Alligator mississippiensis: one gene and its partner. The protein of the gene in region 1 interacts with the protein of each later gene in a pairwise test. Links are inferred from orthologs where the notes say so. Each region holds a gene or a part of one and is shown in the gene's direction. Other genes may lie near its edges.

Region 1 (10,468 bases):
AATTAAAAATGCAGGTGGAATTATGTTGGTGATCTGCAGTGCTAGAAGTTCAAATTGTAAATACCATGTAACAAGCAAAAGGTCTTGTTTTCTCATAAATAGTAGGTAGGCATTGTCATCATCATTCTTACTATCTGTTTGAGTAAGCTCAAAATATATTGAATGCATTTGAAAGCTTAGCACCATGGGGCACTTACACACATACAGGGAGGCTGCTCTGTAATTCCAGCGTGTTGGAGCAGGCTCAATTTTAATTGAGTTTGCTGAAGCGTGGAAATTTTACCGCACTCCAGCGTCATGTGTATCGGCATCCCCATGCTGAAAAATGGTGGTGGGGTGCTTTAACCTAAGTAATCTTATTAGTAATATCTTATTTACAGGGTCGCCCAATCATTTTGTGTTCTAAAGAAGATACAGAAAGCTCAAAATATGCATACAAAACTATTGAGCTGCCACACACAGTTGACTGTCTCCAAGGGGTTCTGAGTGTTATTCCCCTCCAGCTGCTTTCATTCCACCTGGCTGTTCTCAGAGGATATGATGTAAGTGTCTTTTATCTTTAGGTACTCCAATTTGAACAGTTGGAGAAGCACTGCAGTGAACTTCCTTCTGCCTCCCACCAGCTTAATGCGAGAGGAATAGTTGCACAGAGTTTCTAGCAAGAGAATAGCTATATTCTAATTAGCTGAGCTAGAATTCTAGTAAAACCCCCTGAAAATATGTTTAGCTTCTTTTAACTGGGAAAATAAAACTAAATGTTCAGTAGTAAAACTGAATGAGAGCAGTACCTAGAATGAAGATTTCCCTCTATTTTTCAGTAAACAATATGAAAGTAGGAAGTAAAATTTACCCAAAGAAATTGTGACGCTTGTCTGATACTTTATTAACCAATGCTAAGTGTTTGAATAAGCTTAAGACTGATGCCTATGCTTTTGAGAGTTGTACCCTGTCATGGCAATTCATATTTTTGCAATCGAATTGCAAGGAAACTTCTAACGTTTGCAGATTTTAAAATCTCCAGCACTTTTTGCATGTCTAGGTTGTGTTTTGGCTAGCTAGGACAGATAAGGTGTGGAATTAATTCAGGGATGGGTGGTGGGGTGTGTGCACACGCATGTGCAGACAGGTTGAATCAATTAACAGATACAGAAAGTTGCTTTACTCAATCATGTACTGAAAATCTGTTCTTCATTCCAGGTGGATTTTCCAAGAAACCTGGCCAAATCTGTGACAGTGGAATAAACACCCTGCAACTTTTGTCACCAAACTTCTAAATTTGTATTCTACAAATGTATTGTTATTCATTGAGTACACAACTTTCTAAGTAGAATGATGATATTGTTAACTGGAAAGTGTTGAGGAAGGTTGGCTTGTTTGTTTTTTAACTTGTTCTGACACCCGTTTTTAAAAGCTTTTGATGTGCCTTGTACCCAAGTGCTTTTGCTTACAGCAAATGTTTCTCTAAATAACTAATATTGCCAAAAGAGAAAGAAAGGAAATCATTGTTTACACATGGTATAGTGAATGACGTTTTCTACTATTGTGCAATATATATATACAGCTCTGTTTTAGAGTAACTGTGAACACTTTTAGCCAACACTACTTTAACTAGTTTTAAAAACAATGTATTTATAAGTACAGTTGTATAGCTTTAAGTTATTATTTTTTTTAGTATGTTGCTCATCTGTAGCATTGTTTAATGCCCTGAATGTATATCCTGAGCATGGTAACATTTATTCATTTGTGTACAGGGTCATTGTTATGGTCTTGTATTTCAGCTTTGATCTGGAACTCTATGGGCACTTTTTTACATGTGCCCTGGGGGTGGGGGAGAGGCATCGCTTTAATTAAAGCGGCTCTGAGAGCCACTCTAATTAAAGCACAGCAGTGTCTTGTATATCAGTGGCCCTTGCACTTCAAAATGGCAGCGGGGGCACTTGAACTAAAGCTCATTGAATGAACTTCAGTTCAAATACCTCCACCACCTTTTTGAAGTGTGGGGACACTGCACGAGATGCAGGAAGCTGCTGGAGCGCAGTAATTACCATGCTCCGAGAGACTCCATTTAATCGAGTCTGCTCTGACACAGTGTAATTAGACAGGTTGGAGCAGCCTCTGCGCTTGTGTACAGACATCCTGTAGCTGTTTTTTCTTTCTCTTGGTCTCCTTTCTAACTGTTTTTTGCCATTTTCTGTTAACTATTTGTTACCTCAACTTCTTTGACGGAAATCTATTTGGAGATATTCAAACTTCAGCTTTATTTAACCAACCAACCAATCAACATTATTAACTCATTGAATTTTTTTACCACATACATAGTCCCAGTTTTGATTCATTTGACATGTAAAGTATAACAAAATAAGGCAATGGTATTTTCAAGTGGATTACTATACTTCTGTTGGAGATTGTACAATCAAATTACTATGCAATTAAAGAAAACGGATCATGTAAACTCTTATGTGCAATCTTTTACCAACTCCTTCCTCTTCCAGTTAACTATTCTTGAGTACAGTTGCATCTGACTCCACACGTGGAGTTTTCTTCACTGATGGGTTTTGTATCAGACAAAAAATGAAAGCACTTCATGAAGTTTGTGGAAAGGGAGGAATAGTTTTGGAAAAGGAGGAATAGTTTTGTGCTTAAGGCACCTGGTTAGGTTTCAAAATATGAATCCAAATCTCAGATGTGCTGCTGGATTTATGTGACATTGGGCAAAAAATCTCTGTGTCCTAAATGGGGACATTACAGATGGTCCTATTCTTTCTACTATCTTTCCTCTGCCACCTAGTAAGCTGCAAAACTCCTCTGGGGCAAGGACTGTCTTAAAATTTGTGTACTTGGTACAAAGGGAACCCCAGTCTGAACTTATTCCTTATTAATGTATACACATAATGTAGCCATAATATCTGTTTTGTACAAAAACTTGGCATCTTTATAACCTTTTTCTGTACTCCTTATCAATCTAAAAGCTACATCTTTTGGGTGCAGTAGTATCTCCTGCACACACTGAATTTTATAGATGTAGTTGAACTATTAACTCTGTATATTCTGTCTTCCTTTGAGTTGGCTGAGCTAAAAAGACATTTCGCACAATTTTTAAACAGGAAGGTACATTTTGTATTTCACCACTTATTATTTGTGGCCATAATAACACTTTTTATGCTTTTTGTGCCAAGCAAAACCTCACCAGAGATGAATACTTTTAAAACGGTTTGAACCTACCATCTCCTGGTTACGCTCGTGCTGATGAGCAGGATTTAGATCTAGCTTCTCTTGCTGGGAAAGGTCTAAAAGAGGATTTGTTTCTTGCTGGACATCCTGAAGAGCACAAAGCGTCTCTTCTCTAACAGTGACCGGTTTTGTATGCTTCAAAGAACAAAGAACTTTTAACCAACGGAGCTGGACAAGTGTCATATATGTACTGAATTACTGAGACTTTTTTTTGCCCTTACTGCTGATCATCTCCTTCCCCAAAGCAATGATGATCAGTGTGACATTGCAACTTTAATCTTACTGAGCATTGCTAATAATTTTAAGTGGTTAAATCAAAGATTTCAGAAGCCAAGACCAGAAGGGTGGTGTGACTTTCTTTTTTTCCCCTCTTCTTCCAAATTCTTCCTCCTATATTCAAAAGGTGGGGGAAAAGGCAGTGCACATGCACATGACTTACAGTGCATCATCTTTTGTTAAAATTTGCTCATTGCTTAAAGAAAAGTGAGTGGCTTCAATACAAAAGGCTGAACTTTAATAAAAGAAATGAAAAAACAGACTATGGATATATTTATCTGCAAAAAAAATTGCACTTCATGTGTACATTACGTGAACATATTTGTGGAGTAGCACCAAGAAGTCTATTGTAATACCCTGTCCCTTTTGAGGCTTATAAGTGAATTGCTCTAATGGTTTGTCATATTAAAACACTCACAAATTACCATCATTCTAGTTTTTGTAGGTGACTTAATGGTTCACACAAGTTCTTGAGTAGAAAACATTTTTTCCTTTATATAAATACAATATATTCCTCTGCAGGTTGGCTTTTAAATTGAGATGTTTGAATACTTACAATTTAATGGCTTTAAGTGCTGCAGTAGCTTTTTGTACTAGAGCAGTTTCTGATAGCTCCTTTTAAGGTGCTTCGCTTTCTTATAAAGAGGGCTTTGAAAGGTAAAAAAAACACAGTAAAATATGATATGCATCCCTGGCTGAAGCTGAGGTTGTCAGGGGCTAGTCGTGGAGAGGGCTGTTTCTTTGGAGCCACTAATTTTCTTGCCTTTTAATGAAATGCAGTACTAAGACTAGACTGTAAAGCAATGAAAGCAGATTATTTTTGTTTTTTAATTTATAACTTTTAAATTCAAGTAAGGAGAGAATAAATACATGGGGAAATCTTAAAGGAGAGAATAAATAGGAAATCCTAAGTAAGGAGAAAATAAATAAATGGGAAACCGTGCCCTACTTGGGTTTAAAGAATAGACTCAGTTCTTTTTTAAACAGGTAGCAAGCAAAAATAGTAGTTTTTGAGGTATAGGAAAAGAGAAGAAATGCATGGATGAGATGTTACTGAGATTTTTTGGATGGAGGAAGGAACAGCTGTGAGGGCACACACATTCCCTCCAAAGCTTTCGTGGCTCATTTATTCCTTCAAGCCACAAACAAGGATTACATTTTGCAAATAAAAATGGGAATTGGGGGTACAGCTTCTGAACTGGTGCTTCCTGGACCTTAAATGTTGGAGAGCGGCAAGAGGGAGAGGGGGAAAAACACCTTGGCAAGACCCAGTTTGCTCTCCCGTCCAGCGTTCGCTCCTTGCCATGGCATGCCGGGAGCCGCGGGGTGAGGGGGACCGGCGGTCTGATCCGCTTAATGGCAGTTCTTTTGTTTTTTCTCTTGTGAATTACAGAAAATATACAGTATCTATTATTAACTCCATTTTTTTTAAATGAGGGACAGGCGGGCGGACCAGGCAATGCCATTTTTTTCTTCCTGGTGGATGCATTGTGGTAAAGAAGAGAGGTTGAGGTCACCACCTCGGGCAGCGTCATTTGTAGCAGTCTCTTGGTTTTCAGAGACCGCATCTTGCGGTGCAGCGGCAGGCGGCTTCTTCACTGCCGCCCCCGTGTCACGGGGCCGCGTCCTCCTCCCGCCTCGCCTGGCAGCGCTTCCTGGGTGGAGCAGGGTGACGGCACCCGGGGGTTTTGGTGACAGCTGCTGACACTGCCTCGCCTCACCCTGGCAGTTGGATGGGGGGGGTGACATCACCTCAGCTGACAACGGTGATTTGCCGTGTAAATAGCCCATCATTTGGCAGTGCACTTAGGTGTGTGGTGACATCACCAAGCTGGGGGCAGTTTGACGTGGGTGATGACATCAAGCTGGGGGCAGTTTGACATGGGTGATGACATTAAGCTAGGGGCAGTTTGACATGGGATGACATCACTAAGCTGGGGGCAGTTTGAAGTGGAATAACATCACCAAGCTGGGGGCAGTTTGATGTGAGTGATGACATCACCGAGATGTGGCAGTTTGATATGGGCGATGACATCAAGCTGGGGGCAGTTTGACATGGGATGACATCACTAAACTGGGGGTAGGTTGATGTGGGATAACATCACCAAGCTGGGGAGAGTTTGATGTGGAATGACATCACCGAGCTGGGGGCAGTCTGACGTGAGATGACATCACCAAGATGGGGCGAGCGTGACGTGCGCTGCTCGGGCCCAGCCCGGCCCGGAGCCGCCCTGTCTCCACTGCAGTCCCCTCCCTTATATAGTGTCTTGAGGAGGTCCCGCCTCCAGCCGGATTGGCTGAGCGCGCCCGGCGCCGCGCGACGATTGGACGGCGCGCGCGCCCGTCAGCCGGTCTGGCCTGGCGCGGCCTGCGAGGGGCAGGGGAGCCATTGTGGCTGGGGCGGCCCTGCGAGCCGGAGGCGCCGAGCGGGCACCCGAGCGCCGCCCGCCCGCCCGGCCTGGCCAGGCCGCCGCACGGTGAGGCGCGGAGCGGGGAGGCCGCGGGGGGGCGGGGCCTGGCGCGAAGTTTCCCTCAGCCGCGGGGGTCGCCGCTGCCGCCCCTCCCCGGCCGCGGCCTGCAGCCCCCCGCGGGGCAATTCGCTCTGCGGCCCAAGGGGTTTGGGAGCCGCCCTCGCCGCTCCAGGCTGGCTGGGGCCTCGGGGCTCCTGGGGTGGACGCTGGCGCCCGTGCCTGGGGCTGGCGGAGGATGCTGCGGGCAGGCTGGTTTCCCTGCCTGGGCGACGGGGACCCGGGAGCCTGTCCTTCCCGGCCCGCGCCGCGGAGGAGACGGGCGCTCGGCTCGCCTGAGGGGCGACAGCCAGGTCCCCCCGCACCCGCCAGGCTGCAGGTGTAGGGAAGGGGGACCGGAGACGGCACGGCTCGTCTCGGGGACCTCGTCTGTTCCTTGATAAACTTAAAAGGTTTTGCTCCTTTTCCCTCTTAGCTGGACCCTCCACCTGGGACGTCGCCGTCACGTCCTTCCCCTGTGTCCCGAGCGGCGCGGGCAGCGCTTCTCAAACCGCAGTAGCCCACTTGTCTCCCATGTAAGCTGATGTGACGTGAAGATCTACAGGGATCCCATCTGGTTAGTCAGCAAGCGCCGCTTCAACCCTGCTGTTACGGGTCACGCGTGTACGCCGTCACGTGCTCGCGGCGTTTCGTTGTCCGTCTTTGCCGTGCGGTCCGTAAAAGTCCTCCGGTGATTGTCACCGGCGCTTGTCAAAACAAAAAGAAATGCAAAACTCTGCCACTCGCGGTTCAGAGATGATACCTTTCATTCGACCGACTAAGCAATCGCCCTCCCCCCCCCATAAGTCTTTTTCTGCAAGCTTTCGGGCGCGCACCCCGCTTCCTCCGGCTCGGGGAAAATTCAAGCTGGTAAAAAGTCCCCATGGGTAGGAAAGCAACTTCATTTTGCACGGAGGAAGCTGAAGGTGGGAGTGCGCTCCTCGGGGTGTCTTTGTGAGTTGCTCTTCGATGTGCAGATCAGGCAGGGATCCTTCCCTTGGGGTGTCACGTGGCAGAAAGGCAGGGAGGTGTAGAAATCTTTCTTATGTTCAGCAATGAAGCTTTACCTCCAAAATTAGCTAAAATTCGGCATCTTCCATGTAACACATCTCTGTCAAACAAAATGGCTTTCAAATGGGATCATCCGATCTTGTGCCTGTTTTTAATTTAGTAGTACAAGGCTGCCGGGTCAAAATAATGATCCTGCAGCTTTTTCAATTGATGAAGATGTGTTGCATTCTCATTGTAAAGGGGTTGTCGCTGCTGTCCATCCTTCGGAGGACGGATGCCTGTTTCCTGTTTGTGTGTTGGTCCTTTTTAGATGAAGTAATATCACGATACCAGGTGCTGAAAACCTTTTTCTGAAATTGAAGGTTTATTTCTAAATTCCAGAGGACTCCTTTATATCGACTGATGTGAAACATGATGTTCATACTGGCGTACGTGGCGTACGTGATACTGTAGTCAGGTTGTTGACTGATATTCCTTGGCTTTCATGGACCATAGTCGGAACAGAGGCCAGTTTCCCAAAGTCGGGCATTCAAAGGGGGATAGGTCCACAAGGGACTCGGGCATGTAAGTCGATATGCAGGCACCATCAGCATTTGCAAAAAAATTTTTTAACCATGCAAGTGGCTAAAGTGTCTAGCACAAGCGTAGTAGACAAGCACAAAAGTGCCTGTGTCTTGCTGTTGCCAAGCAGCTTGGTACCCCTGCGCAAAGAGAAACTAGGTGATTTCCCCACTGATTTTTTTTTTTTTGTTTTCCTGCAGGGCCTGAACCATTAGACAAGCTCAGAGCTTACCTGTCTTGCCCAGAAGTGTGCTTCTTCTTGTTCAATTGTCCAGTTACGTCCAGTATTCCTATGAGAGCCAGACACCTTGTTTGAATCCTTGTGCCCAGCGTGAAGCTGGATCTAGACCTCTGCTTTTGCACAGGAGGAGGCTCTAACTGTAAATATTTGAGGATTCTCTTTTCACAGCTGTTCTGCTTTGCGTAATGAATTAAACATTTATTTGGCCAAGGAGAGAAAAAGTGAGTACAGCTTCATAGCGCAGTGGTAAGGAGCAGTCATGAGACATGTGGGAGAGTTGGGCTCTGTGAGGGACTTCATATTCGTGCATATATAGTTGAGTAACTTCATTAGGAGATACTGAAAGAGTCTCACTCCAGAATATCAGATAACCTCGTGGTTAGGGTTAGGGTCCTCTAATTTGAGAGAACTGGCGTCCCGTTCCTGCACTGTATTGGCAGAACAGAATTTGAAAACAGCTCACATCTCTCAGGTGATTGTCCTATTTGGGAATGGGAGGTCTCTTGTATTTTTTGTAAGAAAGGGCTGACTTGGTACAAGCAGCTAACTCAGTGAGACAGTTCACAACCGAGACTCTTGCATGGAGATAGGTGCTTAACTGCTCTTGGCTTAGGTTCTGCCTGGTCCTAGCCTTTCCATTGTTACCAGTTTGCCACACAGCTTGCTTGTTTCTGTGAATTATTTTAGGTCTCTATCTTTCCCCATATATCGTATGGGGAACCTTGCCATAACTCAGGGCTGTGAATTAGCAGGGGTGCGAATTGGGGTGACTACCCCAGGCCCCACACTTTGGGGGGCCCCACAGAGCCAGGCTGGCTTCATGTCCGGCCGCTCTCCAGCATCTGGGCCCTGCACAGGCTGATTTGCCTGGGGCCTCACACCCTGCTAGGGTCGTCTCTGTTAAGGTGCTATATATTACAACACCCAAATCCCTGTGTGGATTTAGACCAAAGAAGAGTCTTTATCCTTGTTTCCAAATGACATTAATTTTAATATGGTTTTGTGCAATCAAACTCAGTTAGAATGAGCACTGCTAGATCAGATAGCCTCCTACTTCCTTTTTTTAAGTCTTGTCCTTAATACAAAAAATATATCCTCAACTCAAGGTAAAATCCTCCCCAAGAAAGGAAGCTTATGTTTTTTTCACCCACGTGAAAGTCAGGTTACCCTGCAGGGGAGTTTAGTCTCTAACTTGAGCTGTTTACTTATGTGAAAATGCTAAGCTGCCATTTTCTTCATGAGTATTAGCAACACTGAGTCTCCCCTGTGAAGACAAGGGCAAAGGAGGCTGTAGACTTTTCACTTCACTTCCTTCCCTTCCCTTCCCAAACATAGTTTTCATGTCCTGCATTGGGGAATTGCATAAAATAGCACAGCTGTCCCGTTCCTGTTACTCAGACAGTTGCTGTACTTAGGACATGCAGCTGTGATCTTTACTTTGCTCAATAACCCTTTCCTTACCCTGGCTCATCTTGCCAAGCAGGTGCTTAGGTCAGTTTCTTTACATATCTCAAAGGCCACGGAGATTTGAGCTGTCAGCATTTGCATGGGAAACCAGACCTGCAGCCCTGTGTTGTTAACTCTTTTACCCTTTAAGTAAAATAATGAAGATTTGGAGTGGAGTGGGTATAGGTTAAAACCTTGTCCTTCCTCTGGCCCTTGGGAGCATAGTGGCTGGAGAAAAAGGAGACTTGCATACCCCAACATATGGGCTGGGGTAGGCAGGGGTTTGTTAGCTTAGCTTCTTCCTTTTGCATTCATGTTACTGGTCAAGGAGAATAATAAGAAAAAGGTCTGTTGCCATTTCATCTGAAGTTTTAAGACTTTTTCTTTCTGTGGTCAATATTCTAGAACTATGACACATAATGGGGGGTTTATTTTGACAAGGGAAGGGTAAAAGGAGTATGAGAAGTCAGGTATCCTTTAAAGAAAACCCAAATATTTATGATTTTCACATAATGAGGTTTTTTTTTTTCATAGAACATTGACCATAATTAAGCCTCACATTGGACTGTCAGGTAGCTGTAGTCATAGGTCTTGCAAGAAATAAGGCCTTTTTATATTGATCAACAGCAAAAGAAATGAATCTAAGAATTCAACAGCGGGCTTTGATTTTTGGTTTCTTTTTTCTTGTTTGCTTTTTCCTTTTATTATTTGTTATTTCTCCAAATTTCATGTCAAAGATTTGCTTGTTATAGTTGTCCGTTGTGATTCTAGTAGCATTAACTCAGCCACACTGTACAGTCTGTATGTTCTATATATGTTAATAACATAGTAAAGTTTTAAGTTTTATATTTTAAAGGAGAGGAATTTAAGAGAATTGGGGATCTTGAAGAGGATCTTGAAAATGCCAGTATATCTGTTCTCTTGAGGAGGAAATCCAGGACTCCTTGAAGTCAAAGGCAAATTTATGTTGACTTTCAATGAGATAAGGATTTTACTCAGAGTCTCTTAGTACCTGCATGATAAAGACACCCAAATCTACTGGTTTACAAACTGTAGTCCATGCCTTATCAGTGGCGTACAAAAAGCTTGTTGGTTTCTATTAAGATCTAATTGGTCATATGGCGTAAACACTCTTCATTTGCATCTGCTAAATCACACTAAAAGGTATCAGAAGCACACTGAATATTTTCCAGCT
Region 2 (10,173 bases), on another chromosome or scaffold:
CATCTACGCAAGATGCTAAAGCACAGTAGACTGATTCGACTGTGCATTAGCACATCACGGCGAAAGCCATACTAATGCGCAGTACAATTAGTCTACCATGCATTAGCATCACTTAAAAGACGTGTCGGCAGTCGGCACTACTGTGCAGTAGTACTGATTACCGTGCATTAAGTTAGTACTTGTTATTACAGGTACTAAACTTAATGCGCCGTAATTACGGCACATGAATGCACATGTAGACATGCCCACTATTTTTTAAATGTGTCAGTGGAGAGAAAAACCTGGTATTTCTTTATGGGAAGTCTTAGCAGAAGAGGAAGATGATGGAAGACTTGTCTATAGAGCCATTAAATAATTAAGTACAGGCAACCCCCGCTTAACGCTGTTTCACTTAGCCCTATTTTGCTATAACACTTGTTTTAAATTGATACCTGATTCCACTGAGCACTCAGCGAGTTTCAGTATAACGCTCACAGTCACCATCTTTGCTTGGGTCATCAAAAATACTTGCTGTCGCCATCTCAGGTCATCAAAAACTTTTGGTTTCACTTAATGCTATTTTCACTTAACGCTCAGGTTTTCAGGAACCACTTAAGAGCGCTAAGCATGGGTTGCCTATATACAAATCTTAAGGTTATTGGGTCAGCTGCTCACGTGCTGAAAGCTTGCACAGGATGGCAGCACTGAATTGCTCAGATCTCAGTACTAGCAAAGGAAACTCTGAAATGGCCTCTCTATCTTTTAAATATTTTGCTAAATGAATATTGGGTTTTCCAAAGAGAAAACTGTGGCAGGGCAAGGCCGTAAAAAAAGACGTGATTCATCTTCAGGTAGAAGCAGGCATGGCTGACTCTGAGCCACCTTCGGTGCTAGGGTTTCCAGTTGAACAGTGAGCAGAGAGGCCAAAACAGAGTAACTTACACTCATCTGCTCCTCAGAGGGGATGTGAAACAGGAACGGTTCCGGTGACAGAGGGTGACTGGCACAACAAGAGGACTGACAAAGGGAAAAGTGAAAAAAACCCAAGCTGATAGCATGCAAAGGCCAGCATGTGAAAGTAGGTACTTTGACAGCCCTGTGCCACCCCCATCCAGCTGTTTTACATCCCTGGTACGTGAAGACACACTAGGTTCTGCACTCATCTCAAAAGCTGAATCACACCCCTTAACAACTCACAGCTCATTTCTGTCTTCAGGTCCACAAGCTTAGCACTGACGGGAAGCAGGAGCAACTGTAGTTGTGTAACAGCAGACAGAACTGGGCCCCTTGCGACTTGCTATAGGAGCTACTAACTAAACCCCTGGGAGCTCTGCCTCTGAAGCAGACCTGGATTTTCTTTTGCTAGCCAGGCTGGCCAGGACAGAGTCCTCACTGAAGGCCCCCTCAAAGGCAGAGAGGATGGACTGTTGAAATGTCTCCCTGAAATCCTGCCCCATAAAGACATACAGGATTGGATTGATGCAGCTGTTGAAGAAGGCAAGGCTGGAGGCCAGGGGGAAGCCGATGTAGAGGGCCATCTTCAGCTCATGACTGGAAGAGTGTTTGGACATTTCCATCATGGAGAAGACATGGTATGGGAAATAGCAGAGGAAGAAAGACACAGTGACGGCAATGATGATCCGGATAGGCTTTGTGGACCTCACTAAACGTCTCCTTTTCAACCTGATAGCAAAGATGGTGTAGCAGATGAGGATCACCATGAAGGGGATGAGGAACCCACACAGGAATCTGGTTACAATCATCGCTTCGTGCCTCATTCTCCACAGCCTCTGTGCTGCCTCCGAGTTATAATCATCAGACAGGGCAAAGTTATTGTAGCAGCTGGTGATGTTCTTGGAATGAATAGCTGTGTCTCGAAAAACAAGATACGGAGAGCTCATGATGAGGGCAAGGACCCATGTCACCAGGGCAATGTTGGAAGCCAATTTGGGTGTCCTGTAGTTGTGAGACCACACAGGGAAGACAAGTGAAACGCACCGATCCATGCTGATGACTGTGAGAAGGAAGACGCTAGCAAACATGTTGAGGAAGGCAATGGTGCTGTTTAATTTGCACAGGAGCTTCCCAAAGGGCCAGTGGAAGCCCAGAGCAGTGTAGACAATGCTGAAGGGCAGGAAAAAAGTGAAGATGAAATCGGCCACAGCCAGGTTCAGAAACCACACGGCATTCACTGTCTTCTTCATCCGGAAGCCAGCGATCCAGATGACGAGGCCATTTCCTGTCACCCCCAGCAGACACGCAATGCTGTAGACCACCATGGACAGGATATGCATGCTCTTTTGAAGGCTGGAATAGTAATCTTTGTGTTCAGAGGCGTTCTCATACCGAGCGGTGGAGATGACAGAGATGGGTGAGGGGGAGGAGATGTTCTCCATCACCATTCACGATCTGGGCTCCTGAAATTATACGTGCATATTCCTGCTATTAATTTAATCTGCGGTAGCTGCCACATCAGGATCTCAAAAAGACTTTGTCAAGGTAGCCAACTATGATTAGATTGCCCTTACCACTGTGGAAAGTGAGGCACAGAGTGTACAAGGAACTTAGCCAAGATCCCCTTGAGTCAGTGCCACTGAGAGCAGAGAGGAGCCATGTGGGAATATTTCAGGATAGAATCTGGCTGTAAGCAAGTCATGGAATTGGTACCTGACTTTGTCCAGCTCTATACATAACACACAGAAACCGAAGTGTAGCCACCGTTGGGGCAACTTGGAATTCCCCTACTATAAACAGAACGCTTGGGATCCATCAAGGTACTACCCATCAAACACATCAGATATGGGCTAACTGGGAAATACCCCCCTGCCCTGACCTCTCAGTTGGAGAAGCCCCACTGTGGCTATTCAGTGCAACTAAAGGCACTGGAGTCTGGTGCTCAAAGACCCCACTACCTACTTCAGAAATTTGCCTTTTAAGATATGTCTTTCATTTTGAAGGATAACACACTATAACAGAGCATGGCCAACACCTTACCCACATATCCATCTCTTAAATCCTCCCAATCTCCTGCTTTTCTCACCACCTCCTAGCCTGGATTTCTAACACTGAGATCAAACGAGAGGTACTCACCACAGCTTTGTATTTCTTGTTTCTCTGCTTCTGGGCACTGGAAGTGGTGGAACCTCCTCTTATTGTCTGGAAGTGTTCGAGACAATGAGCATCTCTGCAAGTGATTCACGGTAGGTTGTATTGTCTTTCCATGGTCTGAGCTCATGGGGAATTTAACAGGATCATTTATTCCACGGTGTTGTTCCTCAATTTGTATTATGTGGAATTTAACTCTTTGGCATCGCTGTTCATCTGCACTGTGTTCTTAACTCATGTTGGCTAAATTGAGTTAGCTAATGCAACTTAAAAAAGCCATAAAGACACATTAACTGGGGTTTTACCTGGGTTGAGAGTTTGAATTCAATACCAGGCTGCTAGTCTGAAGTAAAACCAAAGTTACCTTGTCTTCACACTGCTATTATAACTGAAGCTAACTCAGTTCAATCATCTTGAGCGTAGGCAGGCCCTTAATGTACAATACGAAGGCAGTCATTTTGGCTGTAGGGTGAAAGTCATCTCAAAGGTATAACACCACGGGAAGTGTCAAGTGACACAAACCCATTCGGACGTAGGGATGAGAAGGGCAGTGGTACACAGGTGAGATGATGGAGAAGAATCCCGGCCTGAGAAATGCTCTCTCAAGGGCTTCTCACACACGAGAGTGGATCACTTTGGTGCTTTCTTCCACACTGGCTCTCAATCGCCAGCCCATCAGTGAGTCTGGAACAGCAGCCACATGTTACAGTGACACTATTTTCAGCTTCATCACTAGGCCTCAGAGCTGATGTCCTCTTGAGATGAATGGGAACAGATCGGGCCTCACCCATGTCCTGACCTGCTAACATGTACGGGCTCTACTGGAAGCACTGATTTTAATTCTTAAACATGTGAGAAACGTTTGAAAGTTTCCAAGATTTTGGTTTCAACCCTGTTCCCACGGAAATCAATGGGAAGCACCTGACTTCTTCACAGCATCTATAGGAGCTATGGATCTCCATCCTTGCATATTCTCATTTACACCAGTATGATTTGGGGAGAAGGGGCCAAATCCTGCTGTTCTTACGTCAAATTATCTTTAAACTTAGTAGTCATTTGAAGAGACATTAGGAGCGGAGGATGTAGCCTTAAGAAGGGGAGTTACCAATATTTAGAGCAATACAAAGAGATATAACTGTACTGGGAAAAGTGTTGTTACATTAAGAAAAAGAAGATGCAACTAAATATTAGGAAACTTCATAACTGTAAGCCCTGTCAGCTCATAGTGTCTGGACAGGAGAGAGAGAAGCTGCAGTGCCAGGGAAGCATTTAATGGACTGACAAGCCAAAGAATGGCCAATGTGTCAGCGGTGGCAGCACACCCTCCATTCGATGATCTCTACCCCGGCTCATTGATGGGTCTTGAGGTGACTTTAAAGTCCAATCCTGGAGCCATAGACCCGTCTGCAGAAGTGGCAGGTCTTTCCACAAGGGAGAGTAGGCAGCAGGCTGGGATTTTCCCCTTTTCCTTCCTCCGCTCTCTCCTCTGCTTCAAGGGCAAGACGCTTTACCTCGAGATGGACTGCTCCCTAGTTGAGGCTGCAGGGCCATTGGAGTCCGTCAGCAGCCAGCTCCTCCCAGCTCTTGACGTTGGCATCCATTTTCTTGGGGCTTGCCTCCGTGTGTCCTTGTCGCATCTCCTCTGGCCACCATGAGATCTCAGGCCATTACTACAGGCTGTTGCCAACCCATCAATAAGGGGAAAATGCCTGTTTGGGGTAGGTGTAATATGCCCCCTTTGGTGCTTTCTTCCACACTGGCTCTCATTCGCCAGCTCATCAGTGAGTCTGGAACAGCAGCCACATGTTACAGCGACACTATTTTCAGTGAAGTTGAAATGTGCTTATGGTCTCCCCATAGTGTTGAGCTGTCCCCCTGTATCACGGATGGTTATTTCTCACCTCCTGATTCTTTAATCCTTGCTGAACAGTTATCTTCCTCCTGGTTTCATCTTTTGGATATGGGAGACTCTAGTCCCAGTCTCTCCTCCGCCAGGTAGATGCCACCAGCCACAGGAATGGGGACTAAAACCACAGAGACCAGGCAAGGCTCTAATTGGGGTGATTAATTAATGAATTAAGATGTCAGGTTGACCATAATACAGTAGACAATACTACCTGTTAATGCTGAGTGCTGGGGGGTGGTTAAATAACTTAGCACCACTAGGGTGCCAACAGCTTCAGGTAGAAGAGCGCCTTAGAGGGGGTCCTTGTCTTACCCCCGGCAGTGGAAATGCCCCAGACGGTGGTGAAAGGGAGGTGCACTGTACTCTAAGGCTGACTGGGCTCTTTAACCCTAGCCTAGGAGACCTGACAGACAGACAAATGGATGATCCTTTGCCTCTGCAGCCAAGCTGGTTCCACCTAGCGGCACCCACCGTCCCAGCCAGGCCGGGGGGGATGCTGGTGTCTCCACAGACGCTGCCCAGGCCTTGGTGCCCCGGAGAGGTCACTCCAGCTGGGCTCCATCTCTGCCCAGGCGGCGGCTGCCTGGCTGGGGGCACTTCCCGGGCCTGCCTGCTGCTGAAGGATCCAGTGGATCCCCCAGTGCTGCGAGCAGCAGCCCCTGGGGGAGCAACGGCCCGGCAGCGGAGGCTAGCGGCTGGAGGATGCGCTTCCCTCCGCACGGCCAAGGTCACAGGAAACCCCGCCACCACCCACGTGCTGCCCGTGGCGGGATGGAATCCAACCTGGGACACTCCCCCGGCTGTGATTGGCTCGGGCGGGCCGGGGCGCGGCCGAACTCTGCCCGCCCGGGAGCGGATTGGCTGGGGGAGGAAGTGGGAGAGTCTGAACGTTCCATCCTAGCGCGGGAGCCGCGGGCGGGCGAGCGAGCGACTGCGGGCGGCGGAGCGCGGTAAGTGCGGGGCGATCGCCCGGGACCCCTGGGCCGCCGGGTCTAGGGGGGTGCAGGTCTGCCCCGAGGGGGACTGGAGATCGCTGCTCGGGCCCGCAGCCATCCCTGCGGTCCTCTGGCCGGGCTCTGCTCCTCGGATCATAGGCAAGCCAGGCTGGAAGGGAGCTCACAGGGACAGACATCTAGCCCAGCCCCCTGGCTCCAGGCAGGATCACACCCGGCTGAAGCATCCCAGCCCAGCACCTGTGCCACCCGCCCTTGAGACCCGCCACGGATGGAGATGTCACAGGCCCAGCTCTGCAACCATGCCCCTCACCCTTGCAGCTGGGCTCTGGCGGGGAGAGGAAGCCGCGTCCGGTTTCCGCTGCCATCGAGAGCCATCTCCTTCCTTTTTCGAGAGACTCCCCAGAGACAAGAAACTGGTGGTCTCTTTGCCTTGGCGGGCTCTGATCATGGCATTGGCAGCTGGGCCCCAGGCCAAAGTGTAGGACACGGATCTCAGATGAGCAGCCTGGGGAGGCGGGTTACAGGGCGCTGCTTCCCAACGCTCAGGCAAGAGCTACTGCCAGAGCCTGGAGGCAGGATCTGAGGGAACCAGGGATAGGGATGATCCTGCCTTGAGCAGGGGCTCGGACTCGGCGACTCTGGCGGTCCCTTCCAGCCCGGCGTCTCTCTGATTCTGTGACCGGCTCCTTGCACAAGGGAGCCTCTCTTATTCCTGACCCTGCTCCGAGTAGATGGATGGGCTGATGGCCTGGGAGCCGGGAGATTCAATCCTGGTTCTGGCCAATTGGGACTTTTGGCAGTTCGCAGGACGTAGCTCTTTGCCTCCTTTCCCCATGAACAAAGTACCAAGAACAGACCTTTTTCCCCCACTGTAAAGCAGAGTTACCAGTGAGGAGGGCCATGGTAGAGGTGAGGATGAGGATGGTGGTTGATCTGATGTGGTAGGAGAAGGACTACCTGCCTGCGTGGATCGAGTCCGCTCCTATCCCAAGGGTCAGGCTCTGCTTTCCCCACACCCACAACATCCCTAACCCCTTTCTTGGGGCAGCTCCCCTTTTCTGACACTCAGCATTTGCAGCAACACAAGCAGGCTAAGGGGGACGGGGGGAGCTGGTCCAGCCAGCTGCCCCTCCCCGGAGCAGGATGGACTGTGGGTTGGACAGACGGCCTCCAAATGGACTTTAGCTGTTTGACCCACGCAAACACAGTGATTGCCTAACTAGCAGCGCACGGGGGTGCTGGCCTTGGGGAGTTAATCTTTGAAAGGCCTTTTTGTCTTTAAGGGAGATAGAGGCTGTTCTGTCCCCTCGTGAGTAAAATAACTTGTGCCGCCCATGCCTGATCTCCGCGGGGGTCACGCTGGTGGACTTCAGTCGGGATGCCGTTGATTGGGCTGGGTTGTTATTCAGGCTGAATACATGCAGATGGGCACAGATCCAACATATGGTTACACATGCGCTCCAGGCCTGATCCCACAAGCTGTGTGCTCTCGGAGCTGTGTCCTTCCGATTCAAGAAATCCTACGGGCCACAGTGGGATGAGATTTGTGTGCAAGGAGATGTTCAATGGGAGTCTGTTGCATTTAACACCCCTCTGAATGACAAGAGCTGTCTGGTGGATCCGAAGCAGTGGCTGTCCCTTTGAATATTGCCTCCATTTAAAAATCACACTTGTGTCTGAAAGGGAATGTACCAACTCCTAGCATTTCTATGAGATGTGGGAAAAAATCTTTTTTTCAGTCTGTTGCCTTTCTCCACAGGCAAAGTGTGGATAAAGACAGCTTTGCTCTTTTCCCCGTCGGTTGGGTGGGTTTTCCATGCAGCAACATCAGAGAGAAGTAACACAAATGAGAAAGCTTGACTGCTAATCACTACAGGGACAGCGGCAGGTGTAGGACCTGCATGTCTTTCTAAAGGTGGCTGAAGCTTGGTGTTTTCACCATCACACTGAGCCCAAACCCACTGCAGTCAGTTATTTCTATTGATTTGGGTTCAGAGCACAGCATCATGGAAAAATCAGGCTGGCAGGGTCCTTGGGAGGTCATTTAGCCCAAGCCCCTGCTCAAAGCAGGACCATCCCTGTCCAAACCAGCCCAGACTTGGGCTTTGTTTAACTTGCATGTGAAGACTTCCAGCGAAGGGATTCCACAACCATTTGCGCTAGCGCAACTAAGTCACCAAAATACAAAAAATCTTGCCAAGAAAAGTGGTACGGGAAAGAAAGTCTCTCCTTCCTACAGCCAACAGCCCTGGGCAGGCTCAAACCATCACCCTTTTGGTGAAGAGCGAGGCACTCTGATCTGCACCACAAAAACATGCTAGCAGAGGGCAGGTCCCATCCCGTCTTCTTACATTTACTGGGATTTTTCATTCTAACTCCTACTAAATTTCCTCCCGACTATACAGTGATTGCAGGCCGGGGGACAATCAAGCCAAAGATGCTTCCAGGAGGAGGAGGCAGAGAGACGCGTCTTCCCCAGCGGGCGCTTGTGTTCTATAAACTCTCCCACCCTCCTCATTTCAGAGTACATTGATGCCAGAGGGGACCTGGCCATGGCTACCCCAACCAACCTCAACGGCGAGCTCCCGAGTGCTGAAATCTGGCAGTCGCATAACAAGATGGTCCTGGAACCGCTCGATACCAATGACCCCGAGGTGAGCAGGCTGGCGTCCGCAGGGCAGGGAGGGGGTGGCGTGCTTTGGCGCTGGGTCATCATCTGCTTCATTCATCCGGCCAGCACAGGGACCCGTTCAACTGTGGGGTCACCAGCTTTCAGGACAGTGCGACTCAGGGCAGGGCGTTGGGCCGTCTGGGAGCTGCAGGTTCCCCCCTGCTTCTCCTTTTCAGGTTGTTGCTGCTTCGTCTGTCACTTGCCAGAAGGGGTGGAGGAGGATGGGGGCTGGTGGCTTTCCCCATGCCTGCCTCGGGGCTGTTGTGAGCCTGCTCAACTTGCGGTCCCCATGTGGTAGCCTCTAGCTGAGTCCATGCTGTGCCTTGCTCCATGACACCCAGAGGTGGTCCTTTCCTGTGGGAGGCATTGCCCTACTTGTCCCTCTCCTAGGTCTCAGTGGTCCAGCAGACCCTTTCCAGGCTCATGTTACTATTGAAGCAAGCCCATGTGCCTGGCATCCAGCCCTTGGCTATTACATGGATCAAACCAGGAGGGGATCCACCGACACGAGTGATGGAGACTCATTAGCTCTTTGGGTTCTTGCTTCCAGCCAGCACCTGCAAGCTCACGCATCCTCGAGCTACCCAAAGGACCCCACCCCACCTGTAAAAAATAAAAAGAAAGAAAGAAAGAAATGGCTGGACCCCTCCCCACCTCCCCACTCCCCCCATGCGGACTGCACATGCCACATGGCAGGAAAGCAGCTCTGTAGGGGCACTGCTCTGAGCCCCTCTGGTTCATCCACATAACCCTACGCAGAGTGTTGTCCACATCTCAAGCTCAGAGCCCTGGCAGAAAGAGGCCCTGCCTCTCCTCTCCTAGCTGTGACCTCTTTGTGTCTGTTCCCCATCACTCTTCTCCCCTGGGAGGGTACGTCTTGCCTCTGGGCACCCAATCCCCTGCCCAGAAGCTCCCCCTCATCTCTCTCCAAGGTGTTCAACATCATCAAGAAGGAGAAGCAGCGGCAGAGGCTGGGCTTGGAACTGATCGCCTCCGAGAACTTTGCCAGCCGGGCTGTGCTGGAGGCCCTGGGCTCCTGTCTGAACAACAAGTACTCGGAGGGGTACCCAGGGCAGAGGTATGGAGTGGGGCGTGTGTGGGGGCGCCTCTTGGCTCATGCTTCTTCAGGGCATGATCCCTGCTCAGCTGCTTGCCCAAGCCACTTCCCTTCAGAGCCCATGGTGGGCCAGGCCCTGCCCTTGGTACAAGGCAGAGCAGCTGGCCCTGCGGATCCCCTGTAGAGCTCCTGCCCTCTCCTCCGCGTGGCAGGTACTACGGCGGCACGGAGTGCGTGGACGAGCTGGAGAGGCTGTGTCAGAAGAGGGCACTGGAGGCCTACAACCTGGACCCCCAGAAGTGGGGTGTCAATGTCCAGCCCTACTCAGGTAATACCCCAGCTCCTTGCGTGCTGGCAGGGGGGAGAGAGCAATCCTGCCAATGCCTGGGGACCCCTGGCTTTCGTAACCCTGCCCTGCCAGCTTTCCCCAAGCCAGAGGCAGCTGGGGAAGGGGAGTGCCCAGCCTAGGCGGTGTTTAAAGCATGCAGTCATTTCAACC

Evidence for each region.
Region 2: the proteins of MAPK9 (region 1) and SHMT1 interact in binary tests that used the Homo sapiens proteins (3 or more experiments, as listed by UniProt). The two-hybrid records come from large-scale screens. The link is inferred for Alligator mississippiensis from reciprocal best matches to the Homo sapiens genes MAPK9 and SHMT1.

The regions. Positions count from the first base shown.
Region 1 is NC_081832.1:73,861,340-73,871,807, reverse strand, and holds the start of MAPK9 (mitogen-activated protein kinase 9), read left to right. Parts: upstream 1-5,883; 5' UTR 5,884-5,984; intron 5,985-6,450; 5' UTR 6,451-6,591; intron 6,592-7,786; 5' UTR 7,787-7,966; exon of another isoform or gene 7,967-8,048; intron 8,049-10,468. Other genes in the region: GFPT2 (glutamine--fructose-6-phosphate aminotransferase [isomerizing] 2), read left to right, coding at 381-542, 1,198-1,242. UniProt on the Homo sapiens protein: Serine/threonine-protein kinase involved in various processes such as cell proliferation, differentiation, migration, transformation and programmed cell death.
Region 2 is NC_081836.1:55,109,485-55,119,657, reverse strand, and holds the start of SHMT1 (serine hydroxymethyltransferase, cytosolic), read left to right. Parts: upstream 1-5,859; 5' UTR 5,860-5,940; intron 5,941-8,469; 5' UTR 8,470-8,498; coding exon 8,499-8,600; intron 8,601-9,549; coding exon 9,550-9,695; intron 9,696-9,886; coding exon 9,887-10,002; intron 10,003-10,173. Other genes in the region: chemerin-like receptor 1, read right to left, coding at 1,293-2,381. UniProt on the Homo sapiens protein: Interconversion of serine and glycine.